Canis lupus familiaris: one gene and its partner. The protein of the gene in region 2 interacts with the protein of the main gene of each other region in a biochemical or structural test. Links are inferred from orthologs where the notes say so. Each region holds a gene or a part of one and is shown on either strand. Other genes may lie near its edges.

Evidence for each region.
Region 1: the proteins of DDIT3 (region 2) and ATF3 form a complex in vitro, tested with the Homo sapiens proteins (2 studies listed by BioGRID and IntAct, with this or other methods). The link is inferred for Canis lupus familiaris from reciprocal best matches to the Homo sapiens genes DDIT3 and ATF3.

The regions. Positions count from the first base shown.
Region 1 is NC_049228.1:10,645,659-10,649,459, forward strand, and holds the end of ATF3 (cyclic AMP-dependent transcription factor ATF-3), read left to right. Parts: coding exon 1-86; intron 87-1,606; coding exon 1,607-1,804; 3' UTR 1,805-3,062; downstream 3,063-3,801.
Region 2 is NC_049231.1:1,963,443-1,968,010, forward strand, and holds the start of DDIT3 (DNA damage-inducible transcript 3 protein), read right to left. Parts: upstream 2,851-4,568; 5' UTR 2,749-2,850; intron 2,070-2,748; exon of another isoform or gene 1,987-2,069; intron 1,891-1,986; exon of another isoform or gene 1,741-1,890; intron 1-1,740. UniProt on the Homo sapiens protein: Multifunctional transcription factor in endoplasmic reticulum (ER) stress response. Plays an essential role in the response to a wide variety of cell stresses and induces cell cycle arrest and apoptosis in response to ER stress.

The DNA of each region.
Region 1 (3,801 bases), on a different chromosome or scaffold from region 2:
GGAAAAAGAGGCGGCGGGAAAGAAATAAGATTGCAGCTGCCAAGTGCCGCAACAAGAAAAAGGAGAAGACAGAGTGCCTGCAGAAAGTGAGTCTGCCCGGGGCACCTGGGTGCTGCAGTCGGTGAAGCGGCTGACTGGGTTTCAGCTCAGATCATGAGCTCCTGGGTCGTGAGATCGAGCCCTGCAGTGGGGTCTACGCTGAATGGGGAGTCTGGTTGTGGATTCTCTCCCTCTGCCCCTGCCCCCACTCACTCTCTCTGGCTCTCTAAAATAAATAAGTACATCTTTTAAAGAAAGAAAAGGAAGGAAGAAAGAAAAAGAAAAGGAAAGAAGAAAGGAAGGAAGGAAGGAAGGAAGGAAGGAAGGAAGGAAGGAAGGAAGGAAGGAAAGAGAGAGAGTCTTCCCCTTCTGGCCCCCTCCTCTTGCTCATGCCTGCCCCTGCCAACCTCATGTTCCCATCACAAGGAGAGTCCAAAAGCGCCCTGCCTAGAAGTCTCCCAAGAAGGATGTGTAGCTGGTAACAGAAAGGCCAGTTGCTGAATGAGGAGGTAACAAAGCTGTTAGCACCATCGAAGGGAACTCTGGTTGTAGAAGCAGCAGGTGTGTGAATTAAAAACCACAGATTGTCTGCTGCCCAGATTCCCAGCAGTCTTGGCTCGTCCATACACGTCCAGCAGCTTCCAGGCTGCAGGATATGTCAGCCCAGTTAAAGAAGCTTCACTCACCCGTTTTTACCGAGAAAAGGAAGCAGCCAGTTCTCACTTGGCTCAGTATGAAAAGCCTTTAATTAATCTCTTCAAACAAGTTATTTCCTTAAACTGCAAGCAGTGGTTATACTCTTTTTCTTGGCCCTCTTGTGTGTTGGTAACTCTGCCTCCCTTGTCCTGGGCTCTTCCCATAGTCTGAGCTCGTGGCTGTGTTCAGCTAATTCCCCTTCTGAGGGGAGAGGTACAGATGGGCACAGCATCTCTGGGCAGGTGGGGCGGGCCGTAGCACAGTCCTATGGCTGTGTCCCCTTCCCCCAGGTGTGGACAAGCCAGCGCTGAGTCTCTGCCCAGGTCCTCCAGGTCCCCAAGGATTCTGTTGATTGCTTCAAGAGAGGTGGTGAAAATTGAGACCTTTTGTGTGTGTTGCCATGTACATTTTTTCTGGGGAGGTGAACCTCTCACTGAAGTTGGTGACTCACAAGAGCCTGAATACCATGAGTCTGCATTTCTCCCCAGCCCTCAAGGCTCTCGGGGGCTCGGGAGAGCTGCACGGGGGCTGTTGGACTCACACAAAGGAGATCGGTGAGCTGTCGGTTCTGCAGCAGCCTCCTTACCATGAGAGTCACAACCCACCCTCAACCTTCAGTGGAAACTCAAGGGCATCTCTAGAAGCCTCCAAGTTCAAAAGCTTCTCTCCAGGGTCTGGGTTCTCCCAGACCTCATGCTGTTGTCCCAGCTTTGCGGGGTTGCTGGACCAGCGAGCCCACGGCACTCCCCTCCGCAGGCCATCCCCAGCTTGATGAACTCCCGAAGATGTGTGGCCACCGCCGCCCCAAGGCCAGCCCCTCTTCACTGGAACCATGGCTTCTTGGCTAATAATTCTGTTGCTTGTCCCCCAGGAGTCGGAGAAGCTGGAGAGTGTGAACGCCGAACTGAAGGCCCAAATCGAGGAGCTCAAGAACGAGAAGCAGCATTTGATATACATGCTCAACCTTCATCGGCCCACGTGTATTGTCCGGGCTCAGAATGGGCGGACTCCAGAAGATGAGAGAAACCTTTTTATCCAACAGATAAAAGAAGGAACATTGCAAAGCTAAGCAGTTGTGGTATGGGGGCAACTGGGGAGTCCTCATCGAAACCTACTACATCCCAAACCCTGAAGCCATTGGAGATCTGACTTCCTGTGCACCTCTCGCATCCTGGCAGTGAAGGACCATCGAGGCGGGAGAGCCCTTGATGACTCAGCTGGGCCTTTCCTCTCTGCACCAGAGTGGACTTTGGACCAGGGCAAGGGCATCTTTTGTCTCAATGCCAAGATTTAGGCCTTAACTTACTGGCTATTCTTGGATGCTGTAGGTGGCCCCTGGTTAGGGTCTTGCCCATCTTTTGCCTGGATTCTACAGAAACCAGGACTCTCACCATTAGGACTCATGCTCAAGAAGTGTCTGTACCTTGGGTGGGTGGTGTGGGGCCACGTCCTGCGCCGCCACTACCACTGTCACTCCTCGGGGACACAGAGTGAGAATGGCATTTAGTGAAGTTGTACAATGGCCAGGGTTGTGCTTTCTAGCAAACATGCTGTTATGTACAGGAATTACTGTGTGCAAGGCATTTGTGTCAAAGCTAGGCATTGTGCTCTTCTGATGTTTGTTTTGCACAACACCGGTGTGATTTTCCTCAGATCTGGCTGCTGAGAGTTTGAGGGGGCTATCACCATATGCAGTGTCTTACAAAACGTTGAGGTGGCCAGAAGAGCTCATCAGCTCCGGGAGAACAGAATTCTGCTGGCGAGCAGTGCGGTTTTTGTGTCAACAGAGAAAGCTGCCTTTCCCGTGGCACCCAGGCATTAACGCAGAGTTCATGGGCATGACTGCAGGTCCTCTGTCACAAACTCAGTTATAATGTCACAGGAAGAAAGCAGAAAGTCCAACTTCCAAAGGTCTAGGACTCTCCACTCAGTGACTTAGGTCAGGAGTTATTTCTAGGCCAGCAGAGCCAAAGAATATTCCATTTTCCTTTTCTTGCAGTTGCAAACCACATTCAGTGGAGACAAGTTTGAAGCCAGGTGATGCCTAGGCTTTAGCATTATTGGATGTTAATGGCATTGTTTGTCAGGCGGATGTTTGTAGAAATCTGGCCCAGAGCATTTATTGCTGTGAGAGGTCATTCACACTGGCCATAGGACTCTGGCTACTGTCTGTTTAAATTCTGATGTTTCTGTGAAATCCTCAGAGTGTTTAATCCTACTTAATAGTGTCATTACAATTTTCTGTAAGAGAATATATTACTTATTTATCCTAGTATTCCTAACCTGTCAGTACAATAAATATTGGAACCAAGACATGGTAAACTTAAGTGTTGTACTGGTTTCTGTTCTTTTTAAATCAGTTGCTCGTTGAAATCTAGTCATTCTCCATCCCCTCCCTCTCCATTGATGGGGAGGGGCGTTTAGCTTAAAAATTCTCCCAAGTGTCATCCCTTTGCTCTTTGGGGGGCCACCAGGTGAGATCGTTGACTTTCAACCCTGTTCTCAGTCTGTGGCATTGGATGATGCTGTTTCTCATTGACAAACCCTGGAACACGGCGCCAACCAAGTATAACCTTTAGGCCGTTTGGTGTCAAGATAGAGGTTTGATATAAAATCCCAATTGCAGGGCAGCCCGGTGGCTCAGTGGTTTGGTGCCGCCTTTAGCCCAGGGCGTAATCCTGGAGTCCTGGGATCGAGTCCCACATGGGGCTCCCTGCATGGAGCCTGCTTCTCCTTCTGCCTGTGTCTCTACCTCTCTCTCTCCGTGTCTCTCATGAATAAATAAAATCTTTAAAAAAAATTAAAATAAAATAAAATCCCAATTGCTAAATACCTTGACTGTGTTTCTCGGAATGTACAGACGCTGAAAACGTAGACCTGATGTTCACCTTGACACCGTACATTTTGCCACGGAGCACCTCTTATTTGCTCAATTACATCAATTATGTCCACACATGTGTCTGATTGTTGCAGGTATGTCTTTCAAATATGAGGAAAGAACAGAGGGAGGAAGAGACGGGATAGGTGTGACGATACAAAGAAAGGTATCCCACCTGATTTTCTGGA
Region 2 (4,568 bases):
TTTTATTTTATTTTATTTTAATTATTATTATTTTTTTTTATGATAGTCACAGAGAGAGAGAGAGAGAGGCAGAGACACAGGCAGAGGGAGAAGCAGGCTCCATGAACCGGGAGCCCTATGTGGGATTCGATCCCAGGTCTCCAGGATCGCGCCCTGGGCCAAAGGCAGGCGCCAAACCACTGCGCCACCCAGGGATCCCTGGAGTGAGCCTTTTAAAACTCTAGTCAGGTCCTGTCAGTCTGTTCAAAACTCTTCAAGGACTAAAGTTCATGAATATTAAAGGCTAAAGGTCCTTAATATGGCTTAGAAGGCCCCACACAATCTCCTTCCCTGCCCTGGATTTCTCATTGACCACTCTCCCTCTAGTCCGTCCAGCTGGCCTGCTCCCTAAACTCTGCACACTCCCACCTTAGGACCTCTGTTCTCACTGTTCTTTCTCCTGGAAAGCTCTTCCTTTCACAAATCTGCACAGCTTACTACTTTGCCTCTTTTCAGAAGTTTCATTTAAATGTCACCTCTGTGAGAGAATCTCTAATGACTCAAGGTAAACATCCTGGGCATTCACTACCCTTCCATGCTTTGGTTTTCTCCTTGGCACTTCTATATTTGTTCGCTGTGCACCTTTTCCCACGAAATGTAAGCTCTGTGAGAACAGGTCTTTTCCTTGTTCGTAGATGCATCCTGGGCCTAAAATGTGTGGCACATAGCAGGTGTGTAATAAGTAATTTGTGAAGAATGAAAGAATTCTCCCCAGTGTCTCATAGGGAAGGGAGGAGGAAGCCCAGAGGCAGAGCAGCAGCTGCCCAGCCCTGGGGACTGGAGATGCAATATCTCCCAGAGTGTTTCTCTTCAGGGCTGTCCTCCCTGGGGGACCCTCCTTGCCTTCCAGCGTGTGGGATGCCGCTTTCATCAGCAGTGGGGCCCCAGGCCAGAGGGCTGCAGAGCCAAACAGGGGGCTGGCCTGATGCAACGGTTACACAGAAATTAGCTGGGAGGCAGGACGCGGGGAAAGCAGCAGGGACAAATCCCTGCGGAAGGACCCTACACTGGGGAGACCCCAAATGGCTTCCCACACTTAAGGGATCCAGAATGCTCTCTTGTGCAGGAGGCCCCCGGGACCTCTGGGGGAATGGGAAAACCCATCTCTGCTCCCTAGCCATTGGCATCCCTCCTCCTCCCAAAGTCTGGAGTCTGTCTCCTTAAGGTTCTCTTCTCCGTTAGGGTGTGGAATGGCTGTCCTGTGCAGGACCCAGGAGCTCCATCCACCGACGTGGCCACTCTGGCCCTGAGACGCTGGGCTGAGACAGGATTGGGGGTGGGGTAGGGGCAGGGCCGCTGGTGGGAAAGTGGCGGCAAGGGCGTGAGCCAGAGCCATCCAGGCGTCTCGGCGTGGGGGAGTGTCCTGCCGCCCCGCCTCCCACCGGACAGGACCAAGGAGGCGGCCTAGGGCAGCAGCGGAAGACAGGGAGTCTCCCGAGGGCATCCGGACCCCTTAGCCCGACGGCCCAGAGCCGGGCCCGCGCTCCGGGCAGGGTGGGGCGCCGCTCCCGTCCGAGGGAAGAGAGGTCTGTAAGCACCACTCCCGGATAAAGGATGCTCCCCGTCCCTCCCTCGAACTGTCACTAACTTCGTCGGGGAACGGGTGGGGCCGCATCCTGAGCAGCTGATGCCCCAACTTCGAAGGGACAACCAGCATCCCCGAGGACTAGAGGGTAAAGAGCAGGTGGGATCGGTACTCGCCTCTCTCCTCAGGTTCCGGCTCTGACTGTGGCTCTGTGGCTGCCACCCGCTCATCTTCAACATGATCCGCTCTGTGCCTTACACTCAAGCCTCTGACCTCGGAGGCCCGAGCGCGGATGTTTTAAGGAGGCCCTGCCCTCCCCTCGGGGGCGGGCCCGCAAGCCTGCCAATCAGGGCGCGGCACGCCGGCGCTGGCCCCGCCCCGCCCCCCGCGCCCGCCACTCAGCAGCCCCCGCGGCGCCGCCCCCTTCGCTCCCGCCGGCCCGGGGGTAGAGGTGGTGTCGGACCCGGAAGTGGCTTTGGGTCACGAGGCTCCGCGGAGGAGGCGAGTGAGTCATGCGCGCGCGCGGAGGGGAGAGCTGGGGGGGAGGGGAGGAGGGGAGGAGAGGGGGGCGGGGATGATGCAATGTTTGGCAACCGGTGTCTCGGCGCGCACGCGCAGGGGCCGACGAGGGTGGTGGGCGGTGCGGGGGGGTGGGGGAGAGGAGAGGGCGGGGCGCCAGCGCCGGGCTCCCAACGGCCCCAACGGCTCCCAACCGTGGCCGCCCTCAGGCTGCCTGCGAAGCCGCGCTGCGGCTCGTCCTCCTCGGCGCCCTTATTCCGCCCACCTGGCGTTAGCCCCCGCCTCGCCGTCTGCATGGGGGGCTCCCATTTTGCTCGGTCCCCTCCTAGTTAGTGGGCGCGAGGTCTTCTAAGCCAATCTCTTTTGAAAGTTTGCATGCAGCCACAGGACCGCCTAACGTCTCCTCGAGTAGGCGCATAGAAAGATCCCGTTTAGCTCCCTAATTCCCCCAGAAGGGGCCGAGGAACTTGAGTACTTTTGATGGTCATTTTCAGCTCCTCGCCGAAAAGCACCCCTAACTTTTATCTTTGTGAAGTTTCTGATGAGCGCTCAGCATGCCAGGATTCAGGACTTGGCCCGGTGGACGCGATTCTCAGCCTCCCCCCCCCCCCCCCCCGTACTCTGGTGCCTCCACCAAGGATCAAGACCCGCCCTTTTCGCTGTACCAGCCGCGCAGGTCCTGTGACTCCTGCGTGAGGAGCCGTGCACCCGCCGCCTGCCGCCTCGGTGCTCGGGCGACCTTAGAGCCTCGTTGCCTGGGACGTTGGGTGCACTTGAGCGCGCAGCCGCCTTGCACCGGGTTGTCAGGAGCCCAGAGTCTGGCCTCACCTGCCCCTTTACTTGCCCCCTAATATCTGTGCCACAACCGTTCTTGTTTGTAAATAAAGGATGACGAGTTGTGAAGGTAAAACGAGAGCACTATGAACTTGGAGGCAGCTTAAACAAAAGTGAAAAGCATCGCTTAAAATGCAAACGTTTTTCTTGTGCCATTAGAGAGAAAAAAGATGCCATGTGGCGGCCGGTTGTATTCACTGTCATACCCTCACGGGGGCAGCCAGAGTTAAGTAGAATCTGTCACAAGGCCGGTTGTGGCTGCAAGGAGGTTTAGGTGGTGGTGTGACGGTGACAGGTCCTCGGCCGGGCCTGCTCCGTTGCTCCAGACCTCCATTTCCCCTTCAGTAGATGGGGGTGGGGGTGGGTTGGACCAGATGGTCTCTCCTGGCCCAAAGACATGACCAGGTTGTCAGTGACAGGCAGAGGTCATGTGACTTGACAGGCGGAGGTCCTGTTGTGACATGTTGACCTGGGGAGGCGGGTCAAGTCCCAGCACACTACCCGGGAAGCCTTTGGGGCGGGGCAGGGCAAGTCGCGACTTTCATCTTTTGGGGCCGGCCCCTCCCGGACCCGGCATTCCTGGCTCCCCCGACAGACTGTGGCTTTGGAAGGGGCCCCTCCCCGGGGAGGGCTGGGATTGGCCGCCGGTGGCCTGGGAAGAGGCTCAGATCCTTCCGCGGAGGGCGGGGGGGCCGCGTGGGGTGTTTGTTCTCTTGGGGATTAATGGGGGGTTGTGGGGGAGGGGTAGGCGCGCTCCCGCATGCGCACTGCGGCCCCTCCTGTTGGCTCGTCGTTGTCCGCTGGGCGGGGGCCCGGCCCCGCCCCTCTCCCGTCCGGGCAGCGGCGGCGGCGGCGGCGGCGGCGGCTGCGGCGGCGGCGGCGGCAGCGACGGCGGCGGCGGCGGCGGCAGCCTGCGCGGTGCCTTCTGGGAACGGAATCCCCAGGGCTGCCCCTGGCCCCCATGGCGCATGCGCGGGAGGCCGCTCGGTGATCCGCGGCGGCGGCGGCGGCGCTTCCTGCTAGGACCGGCCGGGGCCGTACCGGAGGCTCGGGCTCCGCCGACCCTCCTCCCACTCCCTCCCACTCACCCTCTGGGCCGCGACTGCGCAGGGCGGGGCCGGCCGAGCCATGGGCCGCGGTGAGTGCAGGGCCCGGCCCCCCCGCCCCTCCCCCTCCCCTCCCCTGCTGTCCCTACCCTCTGCCCCCCGCGTCCTCGGCCCCTTTCCCGGCCCCATCCCCGCCCCCCCGCCCTCACCTGCCCCCGCCGTCTCTCCCTCGCACTGCTTGACTTTTGCCTTCTTCACCTCCCTCCCTCAGTGCTTCGCCCACCCTCCGCCCGCCCTCTCCCCAAGTTCCTTCCTACTTCGTGCGCCTTCCCCTCCTCCCCAGGCAGAGGGAAGCAGGCTGGGTGACAGGGCGCCTTGTTACGAGAGGGAAAGTTTAGGAGCCGCCGGTGTGGGGTGGGAGCGATGGTGAGGCTGGGGGGCTGCTTGCAGGCGGGGGGGGGGGCTGCGTCCCCACTTGGAGCCAATTTGAAGCCGGTGGGGTAGGAGGTGCTGAAGCCCCTTGCCTCGGGCTTGGGGGGAAATCAGGAGCTTCTCGGGATTCTGGGAGAAGACAGAGCTAGGTTGCAACCCTTCCTAGGAAGATC